Linked DNA regions of Rhinolophus ferrumequinum. The protein of the gene in region 1 interacts with the protein of each later gene in a pairwise test. Links are inferred from orthologs where the notes say so. Each region holds a gene or a part of one and is shown in the gene's direction. Other genes may lie near its edges.

Region 1 (15,810 bases):
GCAGCCCATGGCTCGGGGCTGTGGTCTCTCCTGAGCACCAATGTGCAGAAAATGAGGAGAGAAGCAGGGAGCACCCACAGACACCTGGCTCCTCTGGCTGACTGAAGCCTGCTGGCCCCGGGGTCAAGGTCGAGACAGGGTGGGACAGTGCCAGGGTGGCTGGATCCCCGTCTCTGCCACCTGTCCATGGTGTCTGCCCAGGAATTAGTTCCACTCCTTCACAGCCTCCTGTGATGTCGCCCCCAGGTAACTCCAAGCAACGTCTCCTCCTCCCCAGCCTGCTCTGTGCCCACTTGGCAGCTGTGAAACTCGAGGATCAGAGAGGTCAAGATGCTGGCCTAAGGTCACACAGTAAGGAAGAGGCTCAAACCTGCGGCTGGATGACTCTAGAATGTTCAGCCACTGCCCCTGGCCACTCCTCCATCTCTGTCCCCCAGGGCTGGCCCCTTGCCCTCCCTGGCCAGTCGCTGCTCCCAAGGGAAGTGTTCTGTTCGAGAGTGGAGGCCCAGGCGGAGGTTGTGGGAGGCTGGCGGCTGCTGGCCAACACATGGACTTGGCCGGTGGAGAAGTTTCCATCTTAGTGCCAGGAGCTAGTCCAGACCCCACGGACCCAGGGCTACACCTCAGGACCCGCAGGGACCAGCCCTGCAGGGATGGAGGTGGCCCAGTGCCTTCTGTGTCCTCTATCCTTCCACTATCCCCAGCTGGAGCATTACCCATCTCCACACACCAAACATTGCCTTATCCCCCAACATGCTAGTAACCAAGCTCACTAGACCTCAGTTTCTCCATCCGTGAAATGGCTCCCACATTTGTTTTGTGCCCAGCACAGGGCCTCGGCAGTGGGTAGTATCACTCTCCAAGAGGCTCCCCCTAACTAGGCATCGGGCTGTTGATGTGGCCTTCAACCTTGCCCTGAGCTGGACCATGCTAAAAGCAAGGAGAGAGGCCTCAGCATGCTGACAGGGGACGCAGCTAGACACACACTCCCGACCGGGGTCAGAGCAAGGGTCTCAGGGGCCACAGGAGGAGCTGGCTGGCCTCAGCCGGGATGGGGCCCTCGAGGCTTGTAGGCGGCAGGAAGGAGCCAGATGGTTCCAGGCGAGGATGGGAAAAGCAGGACTGGCGGCTGTCCCTACAGGGCCATTTACAGCCACAGGTCACAGGTTGAGGGTCCTGTCCTTGGGGCTCTGGGTCAGGCTGGCCAGAGGGACCCAGGTGGGGGCTGGGCTTGGGGTTGTGCGGGCACCTGAGGGGGCCGGGGTGAGGAGCTTCCCCAGCTTGCAGAGGCACAGACCCCCCCACACACACAAAAGCCACAAATGTGTACACTGTCACACACACAGACATATGAAAGACACACAGACATACACCAAAGTCACTCATATTCAGCAGTGACAGAGGCAAATATGCATACACCATTACACACTCACAGACACACATACAAAAGCCACAGATATGTACACAGTCACACACACAGACATACAGTAGACACACAAAATCATAGATACATAAACACACTCACAGACACACATTCATACAGACACAGTTATATACAGACACCCCCCAAAGTCATTCATACTCAGCAGTCACAGCTATAAATGTGTATACACCATCACACACACACACACACACACACACACACACACACACACACACACAGCAGCCCTGCAGCACATCCACCCTGGCACCTGGCTCTCGTCACCCGCCCGCCCGCCTGCTCGCCCTGCCATCTCATGTCCTTGGCCCTGGGCTGCCCTAATCCCGATCTCGTGTCCTGAAGCCAGAAGATAAGGGGCAGCTGCAGCCCCAGATAAAGGAGGCACAGCCACAAATCCGGGGCGGCCCCGGCAGCAGTGGGCACTGAGCCCGGGCCACACCTGCCTTGTTGCTGCCAACCCCATCCCGCCTGGCTGAGAGGGACGGAGAGAGGGCATGGGGGAGATGGAGGAGAGGGTGAGGGGGAAGGGGGAATAGAGGGGGAGAGAGACAGAGAGATGCAGAGAGAGACACACTCACAGAGGAAGAGAAATGTGGAGAGAGATGAGACGCAGACATGGAGGGAAAGAGAAATGTAGAGAAACATACCGTGTTTCCCCGGAAATAAGACCTAGCTAAAAATCAGCTCTAATGCGTCTTTTGGAGCAAAAATTAATACAAGACCTGGTATATTATATTATATTATATTATATTATATTATATTATATTATATTATACCAGGTCTTATATTAAAATAAGACTGGGTCTCATATTAATTTTTGCTCCAAAAGACGCATTAGAGCTGATTGTCCGGCTAGGTCTTATTCTCAGGGAAACAGTATGAAAGAGACAGAGGAACACACAGAAAACAAAATACAGAAAGAGTACCCCCACACACACATTCTGGTACAGAAACAGGAAGAATAAAAGAGACAGGTAGAGAGAGAACTAGTGACTAAGTAGAGCGCCAGCTGCTCCTTCCCCAGGCCCTGCCCCACCCACACTTGGGTGCCTCAGTCATCCCATCTGCTCAGGGGCCCCAGTGCCACCTGTCACCTTCCTGCTTTGGAGAATGATTCAGGCCTGGTTCAGGGCGGTAGGACACCTTCCTCAATGTCCCCACGCTCTCCAGTGTGACCCCCGGGAAGGCTTCAGTCCCCTGCCACAGCCTCAATGAAGGTGGAACCCCTAGAGCAGTGCCCCCTCTGTGCCTCAGTTTCCCCAGCCATGATAAGATGTATTCACTCAGGAAGTGTTCATTGAGCACCCACTGTGTGCCAGGCCCTGTGTTGGGTGCCGAGGACACAGAGTGACCAAGGCAGACCCAATTCCCACCTCCCTGGGCTCACAGTTTAGTGGGGAAGACAAGTGTGTGGCTAGGCAGCTTCAGAATGATCAGGGTGGTGATGGGGGACCCTCAGGCAGCTGCAGAGCCTGTTGGGGGCATTGGACCCATCCCCAGCAAGGGGCCCTCAGAGAGGCTTCCAGAGGAAGAGGAGGTGAGAACTAAAGTGTGAGTGGAATGAGCAAGGTGACTGGGAATAAGGAATAGACTTTCTGGAAGAGGGAACAGCATATGCAAAGGCTAGGAGATAAGACTGTCTCATAGGAAGTCTGGAATGAACTTGGTGTTTGAGTTTAGGGAGTTGGGGGGTGATGAGGGACGAAGCTGGGGAAGACAGCAGGGGTTGGGTCATGCAGGAACTTGGGGACCATGGTCCAGGGCTGGGGCAGTAGGGAGCCATGGGAGCAGGGGAGAGCTATGGACAGATCTGTGTTTTAGAAGGAGCTGTGGGAGGCGGGGCTGTTGGGGGCAGAATGGGAGGAGTCCTGGAAGGCAGGATGACGAGAGAGGGGACTGCCTGGAGAGACTGGAGGGAGAGTAGGCAGCACGTGCAGACTGACAGGCTGCGGGGGGGATAGGCAGGAGGAGAGGCTGAGACCCTGCTCTCTGTTCAGGATGGTGTGGCAGTCCCTGGACAAGGGACCCCTGCGGCCTGTGGATTCAGGTGCAGGTGTGATGAATGCCTGTTCCCTCCATGCAAGTCAGAGAAAGAATACGCGAGTTAATGCATGGAAAGGGCTCGCTGGTACACAGTAAGCACTCAATAATGGCTCGACTACTGGTAAAAATTAATATTATACTGTTAAAATATAATAAATAATAAGCAATTAATATTGTTAATAATAGGGCCAGCCCAGTGGCTCAGGCAGTTAGAGCTCCATGCTCCTGACTCCAAAGGCTGCTGGTTTGATTCCCACATAGGCCAGTGGGCTCTCAACCACAAGGTTGCTGGTTCAACTCCTCGACTCCCGCAAAGGATGGTGGGCAGCACCCCCTGCAACTAAGATTGAACACGGCACCTTGAGCTGAGCTGCCGCTGAGCTCCCGGATGGCTCAGTTGGTTGGAACACGGGCTCTCAACCATAAGGTTGCCAGTTCGAGGCAGCCACCACAGCATGACTAAAGACACTCAGGAAAGAAGACTTCCAGAACTGCTTCAGAAAGTGGCAAGAAAGGCTGCGCCCCCTGCAACTAGCAACGGCAGCTGGACCTGGAGCTGAGCTGCGCTCTCCACAACCAAGATTGAAAGGACAACAACTTGACTTGGAAAAAAGTCCTGGAAGTACACACTGTTCCCCAATAAAGTCCTGTTCCCCTTCCCCAATAAAATCTTAAATATATATAGTCGTTAATGTTAATAGCACAGTTATCAAGGGTCAGTCCACATCTCCCCCTCCGACAGAAAGCCTTCCTGATTGCCTTACACAAAGAGCACAGGGCAGCGCCCCAGAGCCCTGGGAGAGCTCCCCTTGGAGGCTGAGGCCCAGAGACAGGAGGCCATATTCCTGAGGTCTCCCTCTGTGGGCCTGTTTCCCCACCTGTCCAACTGTCTCCCCAGACTGGTTGGGGTGCCTGTGGGATGACAGGGGGAGACTACTGGGACAACCTCAGGGGGCAATGGGATGGGCATCTCGGGAAGAAGAAGTGAGTTCCTGTCCCTGGAGGTGGGTTAAGGGGGGCTGGGCAAGAAGTTTCACAAGAACTGTAGCAGTTTCTTCCAGTTTTAGATTCCCGGATTCCACCATTTTATTCCCAGATTGTCCTACAGAGGGCAGCCGAAGCCAGAGACATGGAAGATAAACTGCTCTCCACCTCGCACCCCAACCCCGCCCACTGCCATTTTCTCCCAGGCCTTGGAAAAACTGGTTCTGAGCCTACTGTGGCCTCAGGCAAATCCTTTCCCTCCTTGGGCCTCAGTTTCCCCATCTGTTACATAAGGAGCACACTCCTCGCCTCATGTTCCTCCCCAGGGACAGCTTTGTCAAGGTTAGCAGTGATATGCAAGGACACCTAAGGGATTGGTTGCTCCCACTCAGCACCATGTTTATGTAAGTCAGGGCAAATAACAGTGATAAAGTAATAACGACACTAGTTGTTAACATTTATTGTTATTCATTAAATTCTTACCTTCCAAAAGGGATATATATTTTTTTTTTGAAAAAAATTTTTTAAAACTTTAATTTATTTTAACTGTGTTTTTCCAGGACCCATCAGCTCCAAGTCAAGTAGTTGTTTCAATCTAGTTGTGGGGGGCGCAGCTCACAGCGGCCCATGTGGGGATCGAACCAGCAACTTTGTTGTTAAGAGCACCACGCTCTAACCCACTGAGCTAACCGGCCGCCCCTACAAGAGATATTTTTATCAGCCGCATTTTTCTGATGAGGAGACCAAGGCAGAGAGAAGCGAAACGATATTCCCAGCTGTCAAGTGGAAGGACTGGGATTCAAACCTGACAGGCTGAGTCCAGAGCCCTGAAGTCCCCGTGCTGCATGAGGCCTCGTCCGGGAACAGAGAGCTTTAAGGGGGGCACAGCAGGGTATGGTGGGGACTGTCACAAATAGTGACTAGATTCATGGTGCATATCTCTCCCACCTCCCTCAGGGTAAAATCCCAAGTCCTCCTGGCAGCCCACAAGCCCCAGGATGACCTGCTCCCCATCTGCTTCCTGCCCCCTCCTCCCTTTCTCCTCCTCCCTCCCTCTGCTCCAGGCACATAGGGTCTCCTGTTTCTCCAACACACCAGTCATGATCTTTGTACTGGCTGTTCCCCCCACCTGGAACACTTTTGCCCCCTATATCCTTGTGGGGACAGAGCCAGGAGTGCAGTTTCCACTGGCTCATTTGGTTAGAGCGTGAGCTCTGAACAACAGGGTTCCTCTCGGCCTCATGCTAAAGGATGCTGGCTCAGGTAGTAAATGGCCATCAACTGTGATGGGATGGCCATCAGCTGTGGCTAGTTGGCCATCGGCTGTAACCAGTGAGCCATTGGCCACGAATATAACTGCTGTGGCTACGCTAGCAGAAAATGGGGGCTAGCAAGAAGATGGTGGCTGGCAAGCGCGGATTGTAGTTAGGACGGCGGGTTGTAGACAGTGTGGCTCCTGCTTCCTGTGTCTCCAACGCAGCCGCCAGCGAGACTATAGTGGTATGACTCCCCTACCTATGGCTCCATGGGTGTTCCTTTTTGGCCTCACCATGTTCTGCGTTCTTATGTGGGGAGCGATAGCTGAGACCCCGCCTGACACCCTGCATGACAATCCCTATGAGGTGTGATCAAATAATACAGTGAATGTTTACATAAAAAAAAGGTATTACAGTAAAAGATACATTGCCATCCCCCTCACTTTGAACACACTTATCCCATCTTTCTTGCCACTTTCTGAAGCAGTTCTGGAAGTCTTCTTTCCTGTGTCTTTAGTCATGCTGTGGTGGCTGCCTCGATGTCCTGAATCATTTTGACTTTGGGGAAGAGCCAGAAGTCACACGGGGCCAGATCCAGTGAATAAGGTGAATGAGAACACACCATAATGTTTTTTGTTTGTTTGTTTTTTATTGGGGAATATTGTTTCTCCAGGACCCATCAGCTTCAAGTCAAGTTGTTGTCCTTCAATCTAGTTGTGGAGGGCGCAGCTCACTGGCCCATGTGGGAATCAAACCGGCGACCTGGGTGTTATGAGCATTGCACTCTAACCAACTGAGCCAACCAGGTCGCCCCATAATGTTTTTATTTGACGGAAATTGCCTTACACCAGAAGTGATGTGGAGTGTTGAGATGATGGAGGATGATTTATGGCACTTTAAAACACACCTTCTCTCAACCATAGCTCACACCTGACTGACTGCAGCTAACAAGTTGAAACTTGTCACCCACTGCTACTAAGGTTCGATTCGCTGCTTCCCTGCCTTTCCTTTGGATGGCACTCGGCAGCAGCATTCACTGTATTTTGTGATCAACCGAAAGGCTCCGTGTCACACATTGCTTCTAGTATGGCAATTTCTGTCAAATAAAAACATTATGGGGCGGCCGGATGGCTCAGTTGGTTAGAGCGTGAGCTCTGAACAACAGAGTTGCTGGTTCAATTCCCACGTGGGCCAGTGAGCTGCGCCATCCACAACTAGGTTGAAAACGACTTGAGTTGGAGCTGATGGGTCCTGGAAAAACACTGTTCCCCAATATTCCCAAATAAAAATTAAAGAAAAGAAAGTGGCAAGAACGATGGGATGTTTTCAAAGCGAGTGGGAATATTTTGAGGGGGCTAATGGCAATGTGTCTTTTACTGTAACAATTTTTTAATTTAAACATTCACCATATTCTTTGATCATACCTCGTATGCTTCTCAAATGTCACTTTCTCAGCGAAGCTTTCCCTGACCATTCTCTCAAATTGCAACCAACCAAGTGGCATTCCCACTTCCCCTTCGTTGCTTCATTACAATTCAACAACATACGGTACCATTTACTTAGGTAGTATGTTCACTGCCCGCCTTCCGCTCTCCTATGCAAGCTCTCAAGGGCACGGATTTTTCGTTTGTTTTATTCATTGCTGCATCCCTGGCATCTAGGGCTGCGTCTACCACACAGGAGCTCAACAAATTATTTGTTGAATGAATGCGCCGCATAAATGTAGTGGAATTAAAAAAAAAGAAACCCAGCAGGAAAACAAAACACGTCTGTGGGCCGATTGGGATCCGCGGGAAAACAGTTCGCGAACGCCTGGATAATCATTGAACGTTTCCGGCTTCCCAGTAGAGGGATCAGTAGTAAACGGAACCCGACTCCCCACCCCCACGCAGGCTCCGCCCTCGTTACGTCGACGCTCGTACATGGCGTCACTTGGAGGGACCCGGCCATGCGCACTTTCCTAGCACGAGCCGGTAAGACACACACGCGACCCGGAAGGCCTTCCCGCCACAGTCCCAAGCGGGCGTGAGAGTGGCCGATGGCAGAGGGTGCGGCGGAGGCCTCAGGAGAGAATGGTGGCGGTGGCGACTCAGGAGCCGGCACGCTGGAACGGGGAGTGGCGCCCATTAAATCTCGGTGAGTCGCAGGGACAGTTGGAGAACCGCACGGGGAACTCGTGGCGTGGCTCGAGCGGTGCATGCCGGGAGATGGGGCAGTCTACGGACGGGAATCTCGCAGTTTCTTCAATCTGGGCCATGTCTCAGCGGCGGTACCTGAGATAACGCATGTTGGGGGCTGCCACATGCAAAAGCGCATGCTAGCGTGGGCGAGGCTTCAGACGAGGGCCACAGTGCATGCTGGGGTCTGTAGTCCCCGTGTATGGCGGGAATAGTGCATATTGAACTCCAAGCAGCCAGTTACACAGGCTGGGACTTGTGTCTTAAGCGAGTACCGCGATGCAGGCTGGGACTTGTAGGGCTGAAAGGCATGCTGGGAAATGTGGTACCTGTGTTCTTCACTGTAAGGCATGCTGGGTCGTGTAGTTTTTTTTAGCCTAATGTGGCCAAAGGTATTCATACCTGATAACCTGTAATTTGGCTCAACATTCAGCAGGGACAAAATATGTCCTGTCTGTGGCCTTGAGGTGCTCCCAGGCTGGCACCTGGCCAGTTCTAAGTAGTGAGTTCCGTATCAGCGGAAGCACATAAGCAGAGAAAAGTGTTCTTAGTCCTTTTCCCCAGAGTTCACTGAGTCTTGAGCTCAGTGGAGCTCAGACAAGCCTACCTTTCCCTCCCTTCCCTGCGGGCAGATACCTTACCACCAAGGAGCAGTTCCACGAATTCCTGGAAGCCAGAGGGCAGGAAAAGTCCAGCCGGAAAACCAAGGCAGGAGACCTTGGTGGCCATGACCCTGCTGGGTCTGAGGCCAAGCGGATCCGCCTGGAGGATGGAGACGGGCAGACGGAGGAGGCAGCTGAGTACAGGGAGGAGCCTCAGGCTCAGAAGAGAGCCCGGGGCCAGAACAAGGGCCGGCCCCACCTGAAGCCCAACCACTATGACAAGAACAGGCTCTGCCCCTCCCTGGTCCAGGTGAGTGTCACTGTCACAAGCAAGTCCCAGAGGTCTTCAGTCTGTGCCTCTCTGTCCCCTATTCAATCCTCATGATGTTATGATATAAATATCGTTATCATTCTGATCTTCCAGATGAAGAAACCGAGGCACAGTGAGGTTACTGACTTGCTCACGGACACACAACCAGGAAGGGAGGGATCTGAGGTTCAAAGCCTGACCACCCCAGCCTCTCCCTGTCTTCCGTCACTGCGTCCCTGTTTCCTTGCAGGAATCGGCTGCTAAGTGCTTTTTTGGTGATCGCTGCCGCTTCCTGCATGACGTGGGCCTCTACCTGGAGACCAAGCCAGCTGACCTGGGTCCCTGCTGTGTACTATTCGAGACTTACGGCAGGTGCCCATATGGTGTGACCTGTCGCTTTGCTGGGGCTCATCTGGGGCCCGAGGGCCAGAATCTGGTACAAAAGGAGGTGGTCCCGGCCCCGCCTATCCGCAACAGTCTGGACAAGGCCCTCCAGCAGCAGCTGCGAAAGCGCAAGATCCACTTTGAGCGTGCAGAGCAGGCCCTGCACCAGCTAGGAAAGGGCCACCAGCCAGGCTCCACCCCACCTGCCACTGTCCCCGAGGTCATGGGGGCTGAGGGTACGCCAGGACAGGACAACTGTGATGCCCAGCAGGCCCCCCGGGGGCCCGGCGCCGGCACCCCTCCCAGCATCCCTGAGCAAACCTGCGGGCCCCTGACCGATGAGGACATAGTCAGGCTGCGACCCTGTGAGAAGAGGCGGGTATGTGTCACAGGCTTCCTGTTGACACTAGTAGTGTGGGGGGCAGAAGGAGCTGGACACACTCCTAGCCGCAGAGTCAGGACTGGGGCAGAGGAAGGCAGTGGGAAAGGCTTCCTGGAAGAAGCGTTAGAACTGGGGTTTTGATAGTTGACTAGAAGTTCTCTAATAGAGACCATGGAGAAAAGAACATTTCTCATAGAGGGTTGGTTGACATGTGCAGAGGCCCAGATGTAAAAAGGTGGTAGGCTGGTGGGGCAGGGCAAAACGTTCTATAATGTGGTGAGAAGGGAAGCCCCGAAAGTCAGATTGAAGGGTAGAGCTTCACTGTTGCGTGTTCCTTCTCTCCAGCTTGACATCGGTGGCAAACTGTACCTGGCGCCCCTCACCACGGTAGGACCCACGTGGGGTGGGCTGGGTGGTGGCAGTGTGGTCACCCCAACAGTGCCCAGTGCGTGCTGGTCTTGGGGTTGGGGCAGATGTCTGGGGTCCCTGCCTGTCCCACCCTCAAGTGTGTGTGTCCCCGCTGTTCCTAGTGTGGGAACCTGCCCTTCCGGCGGATCTGTAAACGCTTTGGGGCCGATGTGACGTGTGGGGAGATGGCCGTCTGCACCAACCTGCTGCAGGGCCAGACATCCGAGTGGGCCCTGCTCAAACGCCACCCGTGTGAGGATATCTTTGGTGTCCAGGTTGGTGCTGCCCAGAGGGAGGGAGGAAGAGGGAAGAGGGGCTTCTGCTGCCAAGATTCGGAGCAAGGTTCGGGGTCCTGTCTCTTGGCTCCCAGGGCTGGCTCAGTCTCCTCCCAGGCCCCTCTCACCTCAGCCATGGGCCGGGGCACCAGCCTGATGCACTTCCAAGGGCTGCTGGCCTTGGCATGGGGCCAGGCATGGCGGTCAGCACTGGCCCTCACCCCCCCCACCCCGCCACCTGCCACAGCTGGAGGGCGCCTTCCCCGACACCATGACCAAGTGTGCCGAGCTGCTGAACCGCACCATAGAGGTGGATTTTGTGGATATCAATGTTGGCTGCCCCATCGACCTCGTGTACAAGAAGGTAGCAGCCACTTGGCTCCAGACCCCAGAGTGGGCAAGGTGTGGGTGGGGTGGAGGCCTGGGACCCGGCCTTGCTCCTGCCCGAGTCACTGCGGACCTACGGGGCCCTCTGTGCCGCAGTTTCCCCACGTATACAGCAAGGGCAGCTAGGGGTGTCGGGCCCAGGCTGGGTCCTACCTTTCCTCGCTCCAGCTGCCTGTCTCTCCCAGGGCGGGGGCTGTGCCCTCATGAACCGCTCGGCCAAGTTCCAGCAGATTGTCCGCTGCATGAACCAGGTACGCCCCACGATGGCCCCACCTTCCCTGCCTGACCTTGGGCCGCGCTGACCACAACCATTCCTGCAGGTGCTGGATGTGCCCCTGACTGTAAAGATCCGCACAGGCGTCCAGGAGCGTGTGAACCTGGCACACCAGCTGCTGCCCAAGCTTCGGGACTGGGGGGCAGCCCTGGTCACGGTGGGTCTCGGGGCACAGCGGGTGTTGGGACTTCGGGGGCACTTCGGCGACCCTTTCTAATGGGCTATGTCTACCCCTCCTCCCCATCCATGTTGGCCCTTCCTCCATCTCTCCCTCCTGTCGTCTGTCTCTCTGTCTGTCTCTGTCTGTCTCAGCCTGGGTCTCTCTGGGTCTCTCTCTCTCTCTCTGTCTGATGCTCCCCCTCCCCGGACCTGCCTGCCCTCCCCATGTGGCCACATTTCCAGCTCCACGGTCGCTCTCGAGAGCAGCGCTACACCAAGCTGGCCGACTGGCAGTACATCGAGCAGTGTGTGACGGCGGCCAGCCCTATGCCCCTGTTTGGTGGGTCCCCTGCCACTCAGCTCAGACCTGCCTGCCAGCCCTGCCATCAAAGTCCATGCACACCTGGGCCCACCTCCCATCTGGCACCCCTCCCTGCCCCCGTGGGGAGCACTGGGCTGGCAGAACTCCCCAAGCTGCCTGCATGCAGCTCCCTGAGGCCCCATCTCTGTCCCTCAGGAAATGGGGACATCTTGTCATATGAGGACACTAACCGTGCCCTGCAGACTGGTGTCGCTGGGGTCATGATTGCCCGGTGAGTGTGCCCGGTGCCTGGGGGGCTACAGAGAACTGTCTGGAGCTGCCCCTGAGCGTGTAGCCTGCAGCTCAGGGAGGGTGAGGTGTGTCTGAGCTTTCTCACTTTTGTCATGCTACCCCCCAGCCCAGCTGCCTCACCTCCTGGTCCATTTGTCCCCAGTGGGTGGCTTTGTCAGGAAGGGATACACGGAGATGGCAGGGGCCAGGAGGACTGGAAATTTCTACAGCTGTGGGATTGGAGTTGGGGGTTGGAGCTCTGGCTTCAAAGGTTGTACGAACACAGCTGGAGAGTCTGGGACTATGGATTTGGGGGCCGCTGACCGCCCCTGCCCCACAGCGGCGCCCTGCTCAAGCCGTGGCTTTTCACGGAGATCAAGGAGCAGCGACACTGGGACATCTCGTCCTCTGAGCGCCTGGACATCCTGCGGGACTTCACCCACTACGGCCTGGAGCACTGGGGCTCGGACACGCAGGGTGTGGAGAAGACCCGCCGCTTCCTCCTCGAATGGCTCTCCTTCCTGTGCAGGTGGGCACGGGGTGACTGGTGTGGGGGTGTTGGTGGCAGGCCAGCCTGGCCCAACACTGTCCCCCACCTGCCCACAGGTATGTGCCGGTGGGCCTGCTGGAACGGCTGCCACAGAGGATCAACGAGCGGCCCCCCTACTACCTGGGCCGAGACTACCTGGAGACGCTCATGGCCAGCCAGAAGGCCTCCGACTGGATCCGCATCAGGTACCGGGAACCGAGGCACTGGGGGCGGGGGCGTCCTGCGCAGGGTGGCCCGGGACTCAGGCCTGACTCTGCCCCCCGCCCCCCTCCTCACAGTGAGATGCTGCTGGGACCTGTGCCGCCCAATTTCGTCTTCCTGCCAAAACACAAGGCCAATGCATACAAGTAGCTTTGGGGGTAGGAGGGGTGTCGGAGGGGCTCCCTAGTGCTTGAGAAGACAATAAATTTTATTCTTTTTAAAATCCAGGCCTGTGACTCTGAGGTTGCCCCTTCCTACTCCTGGGACCTTTCCCTGGACACCCTGTCCCTCACAGCTCCCTTCCTCCCTCCTGATTCAGTCACTCCCAAGGTCCTAGCCCCATGCTGACCGCTGCTGGTACCCAGATAGGCCTTGACCACAAAGAAGCCACCAGGGCTCTTGAGGGACGTGTTCCTCAGCCTGCGTGGGTGTGGTTCAGGGCAGGCTGCCTGGAGGAAGAGGCCTCAGAGCAGCAGATTAGGCCCAGGGTCCACCCCACCCTTTGTGACATGTGTCTTTGGCTGCCTTGGTTTCCCATTCTATCTCTGCCCACTCCCCACCCCCGGAACCCTGACCAGTGGGTGGGCTACGGGCTGGAATCTGCCACCCGGAGTAACCAGGCAAACAGAACTCTGGGACTCTGAGCCTGTTCTCCAGGTGAACTGCCTGTGCTCCCATCTGCCACCCTCCTGGCCTGCCTGGGCTGGGCCCCCCACCTCCCCATGCAGCACCCCAAACCCTTCTACGCTCCTACAGTTTCCCAAGAAGGCTTCAGTCCCCGGGGCCTGGATGGCACCGAGGGGCTGGTCAGCCAACCCACTCCCACCTGCATGGAGCCTCTTCCCACTGTGGGTATGAGTCGGGGAGCAGTGGTTGGGGGCACCTGATGGGATGGGGACCAGGGCTCTGCCCACCAGCCTCAGGACCCCACCTACCCACCTGCCTTTGTTCACAGGTTCCTCCAACCTGTACCACCCCCCAAACCCAGAGAAAGAGGTGTTTCCAGCCCCTCCGGCAGGTACCAGCCTCTGCCCAACCCTTGACGAGGCCCTGGGAGTTGGTTGGAGCGGGCAGGGCCGTCTTGCCTCCACCCCATCCCTCGACAGCCCCCTAAAAGCAGGGCTTGTGTCTCTGTCAACCCAAAGGGGCCTGTGTCCCCCATCCAGACAAGGCCTGTGCTCTTGTCTCCCACACAGGTCCCCCAAAAAAAGGCCTGTGTCCCTGGGCTCCCATGGTTTGGCTGTGTCCCCACCACCACCATGTCCCACGTTGCCTCCCCCAGGCAGGCGGGTCCTAGCCATGCCCCTCTCAGGGCTGCCCCTCCCCGGCCCACAGGTTTCCAGATGGCACCCTGCGGCTGCTTCTTTGACCCCCGCATTTACCGAATTGAGTGGGCTACCACCGACTTCGGCCAGTCGTCCCTGTATAAGCTGGCAGCAGTGGGCGGCGGGGGGACAGCAGGGAGCCCCGCCTTGGCAGGCACCTACCTGCTAGAGCCCCAGCACTACCTCAAGGCCTCGGTGCCACCCCCACTGCCCCCACCGTACCCCCACTTCCAGCCAGCACCTGGGGGCCCCCAGTACCTCATGCCCTTCTTCCCGCCCGAGGGGCCCGGGCCTGAGGCCCTGGGCTTCGTGGGGGATGGGGGGGCCCCCACCTTCATGGAGCTGCCCCCACCCCTGCTCAAGGAAAGCCTGGTGCCCCCTCCACCACTGCTGCCCCCCAAGGAGAACAAGCTGCCCCCTCTACACGTTACGTTGCCCACTGAGGCTGCGCTGCCCCCTGGCACCTATGGCCACCTCAAGGGCCGCCTGAGCCAGTTCCACGGGCCCGGGGAGCCCCTGGCCTTCCCTACCAAGGAGCTGCAGGGCGGTGGCACTGGGCCGGGCCCCGTGGAGCCCAAGGCTGCTGAGGCGGAGACAGCCCCACTGGGGGCGGGCCAGGCCAGACACCCCGAGGCAGCGAGGACCTTCATGTTGCCTGAGAAGGTGCTGCTAGAGGACGCCATGAAGCTGTTCGACTGCCTGCCGGGGGTCACCGAGCCTGAGGGGTCCCCGTGCAAGGCCCTGGGGCCAGCCCTACCCAATAACCGTGGCGACGGGGACGACTCCTCCGGCGACATCCGCTCGCTGTGCCTGCCGGATGAGCTGCTGTCCTTCGACTACAGCGTGCCCGAGATCCTGGACACTGTGTCCCACGTGGACTCCCTTTTCAACTTCAAGGCGCTGGATGAGGAGCTGCCGCCCCGCCCAGGGCCCCCCGCCGCCACCACCACAGCCCCTCGGGCTGAGCCCGAGAGAAAGAGAAAGGCCGGTGCCTCAGCCACCAAGAAGGGGAGGCAGGGAGGCAAGAGCAGGCAGGCCTCGGGCCTGGCCAGCGCCACCCCTTCGGGACCCAGGCAGGACCTGGAAGCCACCCCCCATTAAAGCGGATTTGACTTCAGCTCATTGTCCACTCGGTGCATTGGGGGGCAGTGGGCTGGGGACACTCACCCCATTGTCCAGTTGGCCTAGGGCCATGAGGGGAGGCCCCTCAGGACCGCAGGCCCCCAGTGCTTCCTGGCTGCCAGGCTTCCAGTCTGAGGCTGGATCCCTCCACTCGGGATTCTGGATCCCTCCACTCGGGATTCTAAATCCCACGTGTCCTAGCTCTGGAAAATCAGTCGGCCAGCAAGGGAGGGGCTTTTGGAAAGTGGGGAGACACCACCCAGACTCCAGCACTGGAAGGATTTCCTCAATATTTGGGGAGGAAAGTCAAGGCTGCCCAGAGACGGCAGGAACTTGCCTGGAGACACAGCAAGCAGGGTGGGCCCTGGGAGTGGCCCCCACCTCCACGTCTCCAGTCCAAACCACCACTGGCTGAGGGAGGGGGAGGCCTGTGAGGGGCCTGTGGCCTGGGCTCTGCCTCAGCCACTGCCCCCTAGTGGAGGGGTTGGGGTGGCGCTTGGCAGGGAGGGGTTGCCATGGTGAATAGGAAAGACTCCTATTCAGGCAGACCTGGGGGCTGTGGGGGCAGGTGCTGGATGGAGGTGGAGGCACCTGATGGCCTGAGGGTGGGGACTGGCCAGGGAGGTGGAAGGCAGTGCCCACCTGGCACACAGGTGACCTGAAACAGGCCCACCTGTAATGGGGGTGTGCAGAGTGCACCAAGTGAGGGCATCCAGCTGGGCCCCGAGTGCCAGTTCTCTCCGTTGGGCCCCGTGCAGGAGTTCTGCATTCAGGTGGCAGGCACAGGACAGCCCCCAGTGTGGGTGTCCGTTATTGCTCACACCTGCTGCTTCCTGCCCTGGCTCCTCCCCTTCAGGCCCACACAGCTCCTCTTCCCAGGGGTCGTGTCTGGTCCAGCCTCTCTTCAACATTTCTGGAGGGAGGGCCCCGGGGGCAGC
Region 2 (16,412 bases), on another chromosome or scaffold:
TCGTTCCTGGATATATGTCTGAGCTTTGTTCTGGAATGCAGTCAAGCTACTTGGAAATAATCTGATCTTTTTGGGTCATCAAGTTTTGTTAGTGAGCTCAGAACAGTCTTTAGGCGACTGAACCCACTACTGAGGCAAGAGCTTTCTGAGGACTCAGTGCTCTGTGGCTGGTGGGGACAACACCGATTTCTGGCCACATGTGCTCTGAGTGAGCACTGTCCAGCCTTACCCTTCCAGGGGCTCTTTCCCGAGGTAGGCAACCCCCCCAGCGGCCCAGCACCCCGCAGACCATGCAGGGGGCACACCGTAGAACCCAGAGCTTCTGCTTTCCCTATGCAACGCTCTCCCCGGTACTCTGCCCTAAAAGTCCTAGTCAGCTGGGGCTCCCCAAAGTCTGCTCTGTCTCCTCAAGTCAGGATACTGGCCAGCTGTATCCTGCAGCCTAGAACATTCCTCCAGAGAGAGGCTGGGCTCAAGTAGAACTCACCTGGACGTTCTCCTTCTGCGATCACTGCCGTGCACTGCGTGTTATCTCCTGCCTGAAAAGCACTGTTTCACATTGAGTCCAGTTTTTTAATTTTAATTATTTATTTTTTGCTGGCTGCTTGTGATTTATTTTCCACTTGGTGCATTGTGTCCAGTTTTTTTGATGTTTAAAGTGGTAGACCATATGATCATAAATGGAAGCTGGTATTATTCATTTTTACACTGTAATAAGCTAAGTAGACCCATTGTGATTTCTAACAAAACTACTACCGTGTTTCCTTGAAAATAAGACCTGGTCTTATGTTAAGTTGTGCTCCAAAAGACACATAAGGGCCTTATGTTCAGGGGATGTCATCCTGAAAAACATGCTAGGGCTTATTTTCCGGTTAGGTCTTATTTTCGGGAAAACATGGTATTAGGTTGGTGCAAAAGTAATTGCAGTTTAAAAGGTTAAAAATACCACAATTAATTTGCACCAACCTAAAAAAAAACTCAGAGTAAATAACTTTTAATGTGTGTGTAATAAAATGAGTGATGAAGAATAATCAAAAGGGGCGGCCGGATGGCTCAGTTGGTTAGAGCGTGAGCTCTCAACAACAAGGTTGCTGGTTCAATTCCCACAGGGGATGGTGGGCCGCACTCCCTGCAACTAAAGATTGAAAATGGCAACTGGACTTGGAGCTGAGCTGCGCCCTCCACAACTACATTGAAGGACAACGACTTGGAGCCGATGGGCCCTGGAGAAACACACTGTTCCCCAATATTCCCCAATTAAATTTAAAAAAAAAATCAAAAGAAGATACAAAAGGAGAGTACATGCCAATGATTTTTATTCAATGAAAATGGACAAAATATTACAGTTAACAAAGATTGTCACCTTAAAAAAAAAGCAAAACCAACACAACTCTCTGCTGTTTACAAGACACAACTAATTTGTAAAGATATAGAAAGGCTGAAAGTAAAAGAATAGCTCTGAAAGTAAAAGAATAGATAAAAGTTAGACTATGTCAATACTCATAAAAACAAGACTGGCATCACTAGGTTAATTTCAGATAAGATACATTTTAAGGCAAGAATAATAGAGAAACAGAAGAGCCTACTGTTATAGCTGGAGACTCAGGGTCCTCTGTCAGACTGGACAGGTCTAGCAGACGAAAAATCAGTAAGGACATGGTTGAACTCAACCATCATCCAACTGGATAGAGTGGACATCAAAGACCACGCCCTCCAGCAACAGCAGAACACGCGTTCTTCTCAAGCTCACGTGGCACATTCACCTCAACAGACCACACTCTCGGCCATAACACTCCTTAACACGTTGAAAATGATAGAAACATAGTGTCTGCTCTCAGACACACGGAATTAAACTAGAAATCAGTAACAAAAAGGTAGCTGAGAAATTCCAAAATATCTGGAGATTAAACATACTTCTAAATAACTCATGGGTCAAAGAAGAAATCACAAGAGAAATTTTAAAATATTTTGAACAAAATGAAAATGAATCATTAAAATTTGTGGGATGCAGCAAAGTCAGTGCTTAGAGGGGATTTGTAGTATTTAATGCATATATTAAAAAAAAGAAAGACCTATAATCAATAACCTAAGCTTCTACTGTAGTGTATTGGAAAAACAAGAGCAAATTAAATCCAAAGTAAGCAGAAGAAATAAAAATTTAGAGCAGAAATTGATGACACTGAAAAGAGAAAATCAATAGAGAAAAAGCAATGAAATCAAAAGCTGGTTCTTTGAAAAGAGCAATAAAATCAAGAAGTCTCTAGCCAGGTAAACTAGAAAAAAAATAAAGGACAATATATATAAATATCCAATCATTATTATTGTGTATGTTGACCTTAAACAAAAATTCAGCCAGATATTTCTCCAGCAGAATGGATTTATTTGGAAACAACGAAGAATTGTAATCTGGAACACGCAACCATGGTTGGTGGGCCACAAGCAATCACTGAAAACGAAGGAAACTTCTACAGCCAGGAAGAGGAAGTTGGGAGGGTTATTATAACACAACAGAGTGCGATCTGGGGAGTGAGAGCTCCCTCTTCTGGTCTCCCTACTTCATTTCAGGTGAGGTTTCTACTAATTTTTATGTACACCCGAAACTAATATATTGGTGTTTGTCAATTATATCTCAATTTTTAAAAAAGGAGAGGACCCGAATTACTAACATCAAAAATAAAACATGGGACATCACTACAGATCCCATGGACATTAAAAAGGATAATAAAGGACACTGTGAACAACTCTGTGCCCAAAATTTTTTTTCTAGAAATTGACAAGTGATTCTACAATGTATATAGAAATGTGAAAGACCAAAAATAGCCAAAATAACTTTGCAAAAGAACAAAGTTGGAGAACTAACACTACCTGACTTCAAGACTTATTATAAAGCTACAGTAACCAAGACAGTGTGGTATTAGTGTACAGCTAGATAGTGAAAATAAATCAGGATAGAAAACAGTCCAGAAATAGACCCATACATACATGGACAACAGATTTTTAACAAAGGTTCAAAGGCAGTTCATTTGAGAAAGAACAGTCTTTTCAACAAATAGTGTTGGGACAATTAGATATCCATATCTAAAAACAAAAATTTTGACTTTCTAATTTCGCAATGTAATAAATAGATGTAATGAGGCATCATGTTATTTTAATTTGGATTTTTCAGGTTTTAGTGATAAGTTAAGCATCTCTTTGTTAAGTCTCAGGGATCTGGTTCCCCTCCTATTAACTGCCTTTTCTTATCGTTTGCCCAGTTCTCTATTGGATTGCCTGTCTTTTTCTCACCAATTTACAGGCATTTCTTTTTACATTCTAAATGTTAATCCACTGGTGCTTTTTGATGGTTTTTGATATTGCAAATGCCTCCTTCTAGTGGTCTGTCTTCTCTTTGTTAACCCAGTGGTTAAGCAGAATTCTTCCTGATGACTCACAATTGATTTCAAGGACATGAGACTGAGGACATATACACCAAGCACTGAATATTCCACAGAAAGCCACAAATGGGGTCAACGCAATTTGGATTGTTTCAAATTTTTGGCCATTATGAATATGAATAAAGCTGCTATGAACATTTGCATCCAGTTAACAAAGATTTTCATCTCAGTCAAGCAATGGTTACAGTTCAAGCGTTGTTTGATATACGGGGTTTTATTCCAATCGGCTCTTCCCCGGTAAGTGCATTGTCACTAAATTTGATGTTTAATCACCTGCAAAACTATTTCTCCACCTCAAAAACTTAGTTATTTAACTTAAACTTCTTTTAGCTTTAGCATCACTTACTCCAGAACCTTACCTGTTAGTCAGTGCCATGAGGGACTTCTTTTGCTGAATCAGGTAATAGTGCTTGAATACTGGAAGAAACATTGCTTCAAGTGTGTGTGTGTGTGTGTGAGCTCTTCACAATGTAATGACAACAGACACAACATGCTTTCTTCATTGTTAGCATTTTCTCCATCACTTTCTTAAGCCTGGACAATCAACCAGTCAGTCCTGCCCTGATGTGTAGCTCTTGCCCGTTCCCGGGGTGTAAACACGCCCACCATGGCTGAGTCCGAGCTGCCCGTGCAACCTCAGTGAACATAGAGTTGGGAGGAGTTGGGCAGCACTCCAGCTGGGCTACCGGCAGTCCTCACCTAACATCATCGGTAGGTTCTTGGAAACTGCGACTTGAAGCGAAACGACGTATAAGGAAACCAGTTTTACCCTCGGCTAATTTGTATAAACCAGAGCTAAGTTCCTACGGCATATTTCTAGTCACAAACACATCGCCAAACTTCCAAATAAACACCCAAAACACTTCTAATATTAAACACTGAAGTAAATGTGAGCTCCACATACATTTAAGAACAATTAATAAAAACAAGGAAGGTCGTGATTTTCCAACCCGCTTATTCCAGTTCAGGGTCACAGGTGGCCAGAGTCTGTCCCGGCAGCTCAGGGCACAAGGGGGGTCCCGCCCCGGACAGGAGGCCCTGCCATCACATGGTGCACCCACGCCCACTTGCTCACACTGGGACAATGTAGACACACCATTCACCTCATGAGCACATCTTTGGGACGCGGGAGGAAACGGGAGGACCAGAGAAGATGAGGGGAGAAGGTGCACACTCCACAGAGACCGTGGCCCAGGCTGCGGATGCATTTTTTTCTCATCAGCGTTATAACAAAATGTACAGCATTTCCCCCGTTCAGTTACACTGGACGTAAATAACATCTAGAGTATGGGCAAGAGTGAGATGAAGTAAAATGCCTTGTAAAAGGTAAAGAAATAAAATGAATACAATAAAGTTTAATTTTTGATAATGGCTGTTTTGAATGACAGGCTTAGAAAATTCCTGAAAATTAACAATAGTTCTTGCAAGCCTGTACAAGCTGGCTCTAGCACACAACTGGGAGGGGACGTGCAGCCCCCCTTGGCAGCCCTCTATGACATTACAGGGGTGCCATTTGGCCAATACCCCTCTCTGGGCCTGTACCTCCCAAACCCTTACCCATAGTCCTTGGGGGACTCGTACAAGCGTCCTCATCATAGATTGTCTGTAAGGTGGGCAAGTGGACGCGATGTGAAGGTTTAATCCTAGGGGAATGGAGACGAAAATGTGGTGGACACGAGACTCGGTACAATCCCATCTCTGTCCACTGAAGACACAAACACACATAAGAACTCTTTACGTTTGTCAAAGACATATTCCAAACACACTAGAGTAGGGGTGAGATGTCTGAGGACAGGAGAGCTTTGGGACTGATGGTGGAAGGAAGAAAAATAGACTCCAATGAAATAAAACCAGAGGTGGGCCTCATCCCAACCAATGAGGACCCTGGTCTGAGGGGTCTAACTGCTGATCTCTCCACGGCCCAGGTACAGAAAGAAGGGCAAGGCAGTAGGTGCCCCCAACCCCGTTCCCCAAATGTTCTCGATGAAGTAGAAGGCTAGAGCCTATGGGCAAGAAGGGCAGGGGGAGGTCAGACGGAAAATGTGGGCACAAGCATTGTTTCGGGAGGTGAGGTCCAGGTTGTGATAGGGGAGGGGCGCAGGGAAGGGATGTGGTGGGGAGACCTCCTGAGCCCGAGGTGCTCCGTGTGCAGGCCACTCACTGCCTGCAGCCTCTCTCACCCTGAGCTGCAGTGTCACCTCCTCAGAGATGTGGCCCTGGCTGTGCCACGGTAAACAAGTCCCCACTCATCTCAGTTTGTGACCGCACTAGGGAGTCCCTCCAGTTTGTTGTCCTGGCCCACTAGAGGCCCACCGGCGCCTGTGAGCCCTGTGACAGAGACCACTGGAGGCAGGTGAAGAAGCTGGCCTGGTGGGAAGGGGCTGGCCAGGGCAGGACAGGGCCCCCCTCCAGACGGAGGGGCACTCAGCTTTTGGTTAAAGCCCTGATTTTGTGCCTTCACTGATTATGCACAAGACTAACTCAGGGCTGCGGGTGGTAAGCACCCCATTGCCCCCAAGGCAGGGCTGATTCCCTTTCAAAAGGTACCTGACCACTGATCCCCCTTTGGGCATCTGGAAAACGCAGGCCCAAACCTGGCAGGTGCAGATGTCAGACCTGGAAGGCCACCTGCAGCTGACCCTGAGGACGTGGAGCAGCTGCAGGCATAGCCACTTGCCCTTTCTTGGGACAGCTGCCTGGCAAATGGCAATCACAGGGGTACTAGGGACCAGAGAGACTGGCCAGGCTTGAGAAAGCTTGCCCCAGTCCTTTTAGACATAATTTGCATAAAACTGCACTCCCATCACTCCCTGTACACCTGCCCAGCTCTTCTGTCCACACCACCTTCACCTCTGTAGACTGCCCACTCCCCTGGGTCACGGGACCCACGAAGGCAAAGGTCTGGGTCTCACTATTGTACCCCCAGCACCCAGATGTGAACGTACAACAGGCTACGTGGCAGGCCTGACAAGCTCAGTGACCAACAGTAACCATACACGGTCAGATCATAAATCCCTAACTGGGCAGGTCATAGTGGGTAGTCACGTGCCAGGACTACAGCTTCCTTAGCAAAGGTTGGTCTTTACCTTGGGCTCATCAAGGATAACGTACCTTTGAAATGTCAGAGTAATTCTCTTTTACAGACACCTCAGAGGCACAACTGCTGGCACCAGAGCAAGAGCACGGCAGTCCTGTTACCTTGCCCCCCGCATACCATCTGTCTGTGCTGTAAATGTGTCGTGAGTGGGACGTGGCTGTGACGGTAGCCGTTTCACACACGTTGGTGTCTTTCCACAACGTCAGACTTTATTAGAATAAAGCGTGGATCTAGCCCTGCTGACTTGGTTTCCCACGGGCGTTAACCGAGGCTCTGGTCGGGGACAGCCTCCAATAGCGAGGGAGGGCGGTTTCACACAGGAGGGTCACACGGGTTTGCAAGTAACAGGGTGAGGCGAGGCGAACAGAGTCTAGGAAAGAAGGATGAGAGAGTCCGGTGTCCAGCGAGAGTCCTCCGGTGCTGGGCTGCGGAGTGTCGGGCGGCAGGTGGGCTGGTGACACGGTCAGGAGGCGAGGCTTCAAGCGCCGCCTCTGGGACGAGTGCAGGTGCTGCTGTCAGCTGGTCGGCTGAGGCCTGAGCGAGGAGCCGTCAGTGAGCTCTGATCTTTTATGCTCGAGACGGGGGGCGGTGCCCCCTCCTGCAGTCCCAGGAAGCATCGTCCAGGTGGTCACACTCCACGTTTTCACGTGACGCCCTGGCATGACGGTCACTCTGTGACTGACATAGCTATCAGAATGACTAGATTCCGTTTTGTGTCCCTAAGTCATGCTCTGTACAAAATGTTTAGTGTTAATTGCCCTGCACCCACCCGTGTAAAGCGGTGTCTCTCCGTCTTACTTTTTATCCAGTCCCAGAAACTGCCCGCCTGGCTTTCTCCGCCTCCTAACCTGCCACCTGTGGATTCCACGTGCCTACCTTCTCTCCTTCCATTCTAAATGCATACAAAGAACTGCAAAATTGCTCTTCCGTGAGCATTTTCTCAGTCCTTTGAGATTTTGCTTCTAGCCGGCCCTCAGATTTGGCTCAAATAAACTCCCAGGGAAATTCTCCGTCCCTTTCATGAGCGCAGCATAGTGCCAGGCACACAGTAGGTGCTCAGCCCGTCTGGACTGCTGAAGGAATGAATGAAAGCTGGACCTGGCTCTCTTTGACAAAGGCGCTCCTAAATGTCTGTCTGACCTGGACCCCTCCCTCGGGAGGCGTGGGGAGGCCTGAGCCGGATGCCCGCGCTGCTCAAGCCCTGGGATCCATGGCGGGAACAGTCGAGAGCCTCGGCCCAGAGCCGCCGCGCCCACACGCCACACCGGCGCGACATCTCCGTCTCTCTTGACGTCACCCTCCGCGGCTGTTTCAGAGAGCCGGTCGTGGGCGCCGCCATGTTACTCAAGGGCGGCCGGCAGGCCTTCGCGGGCGTCACCACGAAGCGTCTCGCCGAGGCCCCGCCCCGCCTGTGACGTCACCGCAGCCTGCTCGGGCGGGCGCCGCCATGTTGGGGGTCCTCGCCATGGGCGCGTAGGTGTCTTCATAAGATGCCGGCACGGCGGCGGCGCCCGGCTTTCCCCCCCCAAGATGGCGTCCATGCGGGAGAGCGACACGGGCCTGTGGCTGCACAACAAGCTGGGGGCCACAGACGAGCTGTGGGCGCCGCCCAGCATCGCGTCCCTGCTCACGGCCGCGGTCATCGACAACATCCGCCTCTGCTTCCACAGCCTCTCGTCGGCCGTAAAGCTCAAGCTGTTGCTTGGGACGCTGCACCTCCCGCGCCGCACGGTGGACGAGGTGAGGCGGGCGGCGTTGGGGGCGCAGGGCCTGCCTTCCACCTCGCGGCCGTGCTCCTTAGACCCGAGACCCCGGCCCTTACTGTCCCCCCAGCCCCCCTGTCACAGCACCCCCTCCCCCGACCCTCACAGTCCCCCTCAGCCCCCCCACTCTCACAGCCCCCCATTTTCACGCCCCCCACCTTTAGCCCCCCCACTTTCACACACCCCACCCTTAGCCTCCCACTTTCACGCCCCCCACCCTCAGCCCCCCCACCCTCACAGCCCCCCACTTTCACGCCCCCCACCCTCACAGCCCCCCTTCTCAGGCCGCACTGGGTTTTCCGCGCTCCCGGTAGAACTTTCCAGCGGCTCCCCTCACGGCACACCCCTTCCCCCACCCTCATTGCCCCTCCCCCGACCGTCACCCTCACAGGCCCCCTTATTCTGGGTGAGGAAAAGCGGAGCCCTTCGGCCTGCAGGGGAGTTTGGGGAGCAGGGCAGCGGGGATGGATGCGAACCCCGAGCCGCCATCGGGCACCTGTTAGGGCACCACCTGTTAGCGCCGGTGGCGGTGCGTGCCTGTGCGTGTTTGCGGGAGGGCGCGGAGGTTAGTGCCCTGATGTGGGGGTGCGAGTCTGTCCGGGTTTCCCTGGGTCCCTGAAAGCCGCGCAGAGGGCAGAGCTGGCCGCGATGGCCTGCGGAGAACTTTCCAGTGACTGTGGACCGCGTGTTGTTATTTTTAGCCCACAGAGTGGCCACACACTTAGGTCCCTCGGTACTCCCGGGCTTCGCCGCACGCCCGTTTCTGCAGCATCCTGATGCGGGTGACACTGCCTGTCCGGGAACGGCGTGTTGCGGGTTCTTCGTGCAGTGAACCCCGTAGTTGTTGGACGTTTCCCCCACTCCTGTTCGGTCCCTTACGATTGCATGTTAGGTTTGTGCCTGTTTTATTGTGAGCGCGAACGCACGCACAAGTGCCAGTTTGTTCAGTTCAGGCGGGGGTCCCGCAAAGCCACCCAAAGCGCACGCAGGCGCCTCGGAAGCCTTGCCCACCTGGCCCCAGGGGCAGCCTGCTGATCTGCGCTGTCACTTAGGCTGTGGGTTTGTTTCTGGGCTCTCCTCTGTTCCTGTAGGCTACGTATTAATGACACTAAGCCTCTTTGTGCCACTTTCTAGCTCAGTAAGTCTTGATAGCTAACGGCGCAGACCCGCCCACTTTATTCTTCAGGGTCTGTGGCTCTTCTTGGCCCTTTGCACTTCCGTGTGTGTTACCTTCACTTCTCAGGTTACACGTACGCCCACGTACAACTTGGGGTTTGATTAAGACTGAGTTGCATTTATAGTTCATTCTGGGGTTAAATCGTCTTAATAATATTGACTCTCATGAATTATTAATATAGGCATATCTCAACTTACATCTTTAATATTTGGGTTTGCGTTTCGTTTGTTTTAGCGTGGAGACAACCTGGTCACTGCTGCTCCGGATTGAGTCCTCTCTTGGACACCTCCGTGAGCATCCAGAAACAGTTGGGTTCTTGTTATTTCAAAAATACGTGAACAGTCTTGACCTTGGCAGGGGTGTGCTCCTGAGAGAGGAGGGACCAGGCCCAGCAGGCTCCTCGTGCTCCGAGCAGCCCCAGGCCCTGCTTTGGCTTTGCCCCTGCCGGACTTGGCTGCCAGAGAACACCGCTCCCGCATTACAAGCTCCTAGATCGTCTTTAATGTTAATATTTGTTGTAAAGCTGCATGATTTTCTCAGCAGACGCCTTCCAGTTTCTGTTAGATATTTCATGTTTTCTCGTGCTGATATAAATATCCGTTAAAATTTTATTTTTAGATGAGTTTGTGAATAGCATCTGTGCTAGTCTTACTAATTGCAATAATGTTCCTGTAGAATCTTCATTTTTCTGTGCACTTAACTCTTATTTTATTTCTCTTTCCAATTGCTATTCATTCATTCATTCATTCATTCATTCATTCATTCATTTGCCTTATTGCATTCACCAGGACACTCCAGTACATTGTTTCTGGCCACACTGTCGCGTCCAGCGCAACACAGGCTGTAAGGGGACGAGAAGGGGTGGCGTTGGGTTAAGTTTTAAGGAAGAAAGAAACAGAGACTTAATGCAGTTAAATCTCAGAAGGCCAGGGGTCTCACAGTTCTGAAAGACTGGAGCCCAGAATCGAGCTGACTGGTGGCTTTTATTGATTATCATACAAGGAAGTAGCATTGTCTTTTCCACAGTCTGTGAATCTCATACATCATACCAGAAAAATGATTCAAACCAATCACGCTTGCCTGTAAACAGCCGAAACAGAAAGTCCCATGGTGTCTTAACAATGGTGGTATGTCCTCCTTAGGGACAGGTCTCTCATGCTGACACTTAATTGTAGGGTTAGAGGGGAGAGCTGATTGTATCGCTCTCACAATCAGGTGAGAGGGGAAAGCCGGAGTCAGCAGTGGCTTTTTCTAGGCAGCGGGAAGGGGAGGCAAGCAAGGCCCCTTCCCAGATCTTCCAAGGCAGCTAGCTCATTGGGGGTCCCCACATGGTTCTGCTTGGCTTAAGTTGCCCCCCCATGGGGAATCTTACTCATCATTGGCTGCAAACCATCTTTTGGGGACCAGACAGAGAGACATGAGGTGTAAAACATCAAGATAAAACAAAGTCCCAGAAAGGCACAGTCTCACAGACCCGTCTTTCCTCAAGGAAAGACATGGGGCGACAGTCGGCTAGGTTGCTGTGTGACAGCAACACTGGAAGAACTTTGAATATTTGCCAATAAGTATGTTTCCTATTATTTTTGGCAGATATTTTTTACTGGTTAAGGAAATTCCCTTCTGTTCCTAGATTAAAAAAAAAAACTATTTTAATCATGAATGAGTTTTTTGTAACAGTTCTATTGAGACAACTCACACATCACAGAATTCACCCATTCAGTATGTACAGTTGAATTGGTTTTTAATATATTCAGAGTTGTGCAGCTGTCATCTTAGTCAATTTTAGAACATTTTTCACCAACCCCAAAATAAACTCTGTTACCTGTTAGCAGGCTTCTCCCCCACACACACCTTCCAGCCTAGGCAACCACTAATCTACTTTCGGTGTCTGTGGGTTTGCCTCTTTTGGACATTTCATGTCAATGGAATTAGGGTTTCTAGGTGGGAATTCCCGCCCGTTCTCAGGATTTTTTTCCACTTTCCCGTTCCCAAATCCTGAGATATAAACTGTTTTCTGTTCTCCACGATGAATCGTCTCCACAAAGTGATAGCTGATACTACCAACCACCTAGGTTCAAGGAGCCTATTTTCCCGATTTCCCCACCAAATTTTATCAGGATTCGGGAATGGAAAAGCGAAAAAAATTCCCGAGAATGGGTGGGAATTCCCTCCCGGAAACCCTAGCGATAAATAGGGAAAATGTTTAAGAGATACATTGTGCATAGTACCTTTATTTCCCATTGTGGGTATTACTGGGTTCAAGGAGCCGATTTTTGCGATTTCCCAACCAACTTTTCTCGGGATTCAGGAATAAGAAAGCAAAAAAATTTCCTGAGAACGGTGGGAATTCCCACCTGGAAACCCTACAAGGAATCATATAATATGTGGTCTTTTGTGACTGGCTGGCTCCTTTCACTTAGCATAATATTTTCAAGGTTTATCTAGATTAGTAACGTCAATATTTCATTCCTTTTTTAAGACAGAATGAAGTTCCACTATATTGATAGACCACATTTTATTCATCAATTACTCATCAGCTGATGGACATTTGGGTTGTTTCAAGTTTTTGTCTAGTATTACGAATAATGCTGCTGTGGAAATTCATGACAAGTTTTTATGGACATATGTTTTATATTTTCAGTGTGGACATATGTTTTCAATTCTCAGGTATATACCTAGAAGCGTCATGTGGTAACTATGGTTAACGTTTTGAGGAACTTCCACACTGTTTTCTGCAGTGGCTGCACCATTTTTACATTTTACACCAGTGATTTTTGAGTGTTCTAAGTTCTCACATCCTTGCCAACCCTTGCTTTATATATATATATGTGTGTGTGTAAATATATGTACATATATACACACACACAGACATATATACACACATGTATGCACATGTATATACATATACATGTATATATATCACGGGTGCCAGAAAAATGTACACACATTATAAGAGCTGTTATCTATGTATTACTTTTTGAAGTTGAATTGAATTATGTAGCAATGTGTAGTATGACGTTCACTCAGACAGAGTTAATCAAATAAATGCTAGCGTTATTCATTGTATTACTTCTTCCCCCCCCCCAACTCTGAGTCAAGCTGTTCTCAGTCTAGTTGTGGAGGACACTGCCCATTGACCCATGTGGGAATTGAACTGGTGACCTTGCTATTATGAGCACTGCGCTCTAACCAGCTGAGCCAGTCAGCCACTGCTCATGGTGGCTCAGCTCCAAGTCAAGCCGTTATTTTCAGTCTAGTTGTGGAGGGCGCAGCTCACAATGGCCCATGTGGGAATCAAACCAGCAACCTTGATGTTATGAGCACAGCGCTCCAACCACCTGAGCCACCGGCCGCTCTGTATTACATTTTTAATACAGTTTTTTCCTTTCTTAAAATGTGTATACATTGTTTTGACACTGTGTGTGTGTGTGTGTGTGTGTATGTGTGTGTATATATATATATATATGGTAATAAATTTGAAGTTTTAGTAGAATGGCCAACTCCCTAGAAAAATATAACATCAAATCTTAACATAAAACCAAAAATCAGTACTCAAAAATCTTCCCACAAAGAAAATCCAGGTCCCCCGGATGGCTTTATTACTAAGTTCTACCAAATGTTTGTGTGTATGTGTGTGTGTGTGTGTGTGTATGGTGTGAACATGAATGAATTTTTAATCAGATGTTTAAAGTATCTGTTGATGTGTAACTCACCACATTAACAGACAGGATTAATCGTAAACCAACCTTGCATTCCTAACTTGGTCATTTTATATTGGATTATTTTGTTCTGATATTTTGTGCAGGAATTTTGTGTTTTTGTTCATGGATGAGATTAGCCTCTAATTTTACTTTCCCAGACTGTCTGATTTTTGGTATTAAAGTTACACTACTGTTATTAAAGGAGTTACAGCGTATCCTCTATATTCCTCTTCTTTGTAAAGTTTGTTTACTAATGGAATTATTTCTTCCTAAATGTTTGGTAGAGCTTAGTAATAGAGCCATCTGGGGGACCTGGATTTTTTTTGTGGGAAGAGTTTTGAGTATTGAGTTTTGTTTTTATGTTAAGTAAAGGTTTGATGTTGTATTTTCCCAAGGAGTTGACCATTCTACTAAAACTTCAAATTTGTTAGCATAAAATAGTTAATATCTTTTTAACATCAGAAGCATGTACAGCGATGTTCCTTTTTTTTTCTTTGATCCATCTCACCAGATGTTTGTCAATTTTATAAGCTTTTTTGAAGTACCAATTTTTGGCTTTATTGATACTCTGTTTTCTGTTTAACTAATTTGTGCACTTTATTTTCTTCTGCTTTCTTTGTATTTATTTTGTTATTGTTTTCTAATCTCTTAAGATGGATGCTGACCTCTGTTTTTCAGCTTTTCTAAAATATACATATAAAGCCATAAATTTTCTTATATCACAGCTTTAGTTTCATCTTACAAGTTTTGATAGTGTTTTTATTATCAAGTCACAGTATTTTCTAATTTCTGTGATGATTTCTTCACTGACAATGCTTGTGTAATTTAAAAATGTTTTTAATTTCTATACATCAAAGGGGGGAGAGGTTTTAGTTTTTATTAGTGATTTCTAGTATATTGAGTATTTGTCAGAGAATGTAGTCTAATAACTTGTCATTCGAAATTTAAAATTTGCTTAATGGCATAGTATGTGGTCAGTTTTTGTAAACATTGTGAGTGAGCTTGAAAAGCATGTTTATTCTCTAGTTTTGAGATCCATTGCCCAGTATGTGTTCATTATGTCAAATTTGTTTAATTGTGTTGTACAGGTCTACTGTACTCTTACTGATCTTTTAAAAATTATTTTATCAATTAGTGAGAGGGGTTTGTGGATCTTTACTATGGTTATGGACTTCTCTATTCCTCATAGTTTTATCAACTTTAGCTTCATATATTTTGAGACTATGTTACTAGGTACATGCAAGTTTAGAATTCTTATGGTTGCCTGGTAAACTGAATCATGGGTCTTTATGTCTGGTAGTGTTTTATCCGTAAACTCTGTTTCTGTCCAGACCAATATAGGTATAGCTTTCTTTCATTGGTGTGTGTGTGTGTGGTGTGTGTGTGTGTGTGTGTGTGTGTGTAGTTTGTCCTTGGACTTTGTCCGTATTACAGAAAATTATAATAAAGGATTCATTTAGCTAGATATAGATAGCAAAAGAACTAGGCCATTATGAGTAATTTACTTTTCTAAAAAGCATTTTTATTTATTTTCTTGGTATTAAAAAAATCTTTCTAAGACATCCTAATTCACTTAGTTGTCTTAGTTATTTTTTTCAGTTCTTTAAGGGTCTTGATACCTTAGGGATGTCATTCTGAAGATTAAGCCTTTGTGCACAGGACCATATGCAGGGGGCCTAGATGACCGTGCTGGGTGTGTTCCACGCTGTTATTAGACCAGCTTCTCCGGAGAACCAGAAGCTCTAGGGGTGTGTGTGTGCATGCGCGTGTACGCCCTGTACCTACCTAAATACGCCAAAGGGCCTTTATTAAAAGGAATCGCCTTTGTGTGATTGTCGCATCTGAGGAGTTGCAAGATCTGTAGCCAACAAGCCTCAGACCCCGGGTAGCCATGTGTGGTTCCTGTCCAAAAGCCAGCAGGCTGGAGACCCAAGAAGAGCCCATGTTTCGGTTCAGATCCAGAGACTGGATTTGACTGGCGCAGTAGCCAGTAGAGTAACTAGGGCCGTTGCTTAGAAGAGGTCTCCCAGGCATCTGTTAGACGCAAAGAAATTCTTGGAAGTTAGGTTTGTCGCTATAGGGTTGTTTTCTTTTTCTCTTTCTTTTTTTTTTTTTTTTTTTTTTTTTAACACTCTCCAGTAAAATGGCTAGAACAATTTGGGAGGAGTTAAAGAACAAATAAAAGCAATCAATTTGTAACATCAAGAAAACCAGCACAACTGGCGAACAGTCTTCAGTCCTGGGTGTCTACTCAGCTTAGTTTTTTGATTTGGGTCAGTAGACAATCTGTCGTATAATAGGAAAACATTTTTTTCTAGCCATGATGGTTTTACAAAATCTAAGGGGGTGCGGTGCCTTGATGGGTCACTCTCCTTGGTGCAGCCATTCCTCAAGTCTTTGTGGGGTTTTAAGCACCTGGCTGTACAGGACATCAACAGCTAGACCATGAGATCCAGTATGCAATTAGACCAGCAATGAGAATAGTTTGCAGTCCACACCTTAAAATAGTTCTGAACCAAAATTTTAACCCAATCAGCTAATGGCACTTGCAGTGAAACTGGAATGTCCCTTAAGGGATTTTGTGAGTTTAAGAAGCTTGGTTGTTTCTGATTCTACCTGGAAAGTGGAATTTATCCAGCAAGAGGCATTAGCTATGGCACAAAGTCCTCCCTGGGCTGCAGGCACGTAATCTAAAGCGCTCCTGTTGTCGAGGACTGCTCGAGCTCGGGAAACTAAAGATCTTTGTCGAGCTCTGCTGTTTCTAGTGGCTGAGCCATTCCACTAACTGTTGTCATTAGATATCACATCATTGTGTCCAACTAAGCAGTGCCAGGGCCAGCGCAGTGCCTGCAGTTCTGAGGGAGTGGTTGCCTCCCCCCAAATATTAATCTCACCGTTCTGCACCTGCGCCGTCTTGGAATGGTGAGGATTCAGCTGTATCTGAGAAGAGCTGAGAGGAATGGAACTGACGGAAATCCTGACGTGCTTTTACATGTTTTTTACTGATGGCTTTTGAAAACTATACAACTGGATTTATTTGCTATGTACATGAATTAGTGTTGGAATAAAGTACCGTTTACATCCACAGAAGTACCAGAATCATACTCAGGTTTACAAAGAGGCGAAATAGTTTGTTTACCATGCAGATTACTGTGAAATCTGTAATAGTTAATAGAACAAAATCCTTATGAATATAGTACTAATGTGTAGCACCAATTAAGTAAGCAGCTCAGGTTAATA

What was found.
Region 2: the proteins of PRR22 (region 1) and NELFA interact in a two-hybrid assay, tested with the Homo sapiens proteins (2 studies listed by BioGRID). The two-hybrid records come from large-scale screens. The link is inferred for Rhinolophus ferrumequinum from reciprocal best matches to the Homo sapiens genes PRR22 and NELFA.

What each region holds. Positions count from the first base shown.
Region 1 is NC_046301.1:58,339,610-58,355,419, forward strand, and holds PRR22 (proline-rich protein 22), read left to right. Parts: upstream 1-12,876; 5' UTR 12,877-13,147; coding exon 13,148-13,277; intron 13,278-13,380; coding exon 13,381-13,443; intron 13,444-13,760; coding exon 13,761-14,851; 3' UTR 14,852-14,852; downstream 14,853-15,810. Other genes in the region: DUS3L (tRNA-dihydrouridine(47) synthase [NAD(P)(+)]-like), read left to right, coding at 7,763-7,860, 8,534-8,813, 9,064-9,576, 9,925-9,966, 10,110-10,262, 10,510-10,626, 10,835-10,900, 10,970-11,080 and 5 more.
Region 2 is NC_046288.1:87,027,788-87,044,199, forward strand, and holds the start of NELFA (negative elongation factor A), read left to right. Parts: upstream 1-8,007; 5' UTR 8,008-8,061; coding exon 8,062-8,271; intron 8,272-16,412. UniProt on the Homo sapiens protein: Essential component of the NELF complex, a complex that negatively regulates the elongation of transcription by RNA polymerase II.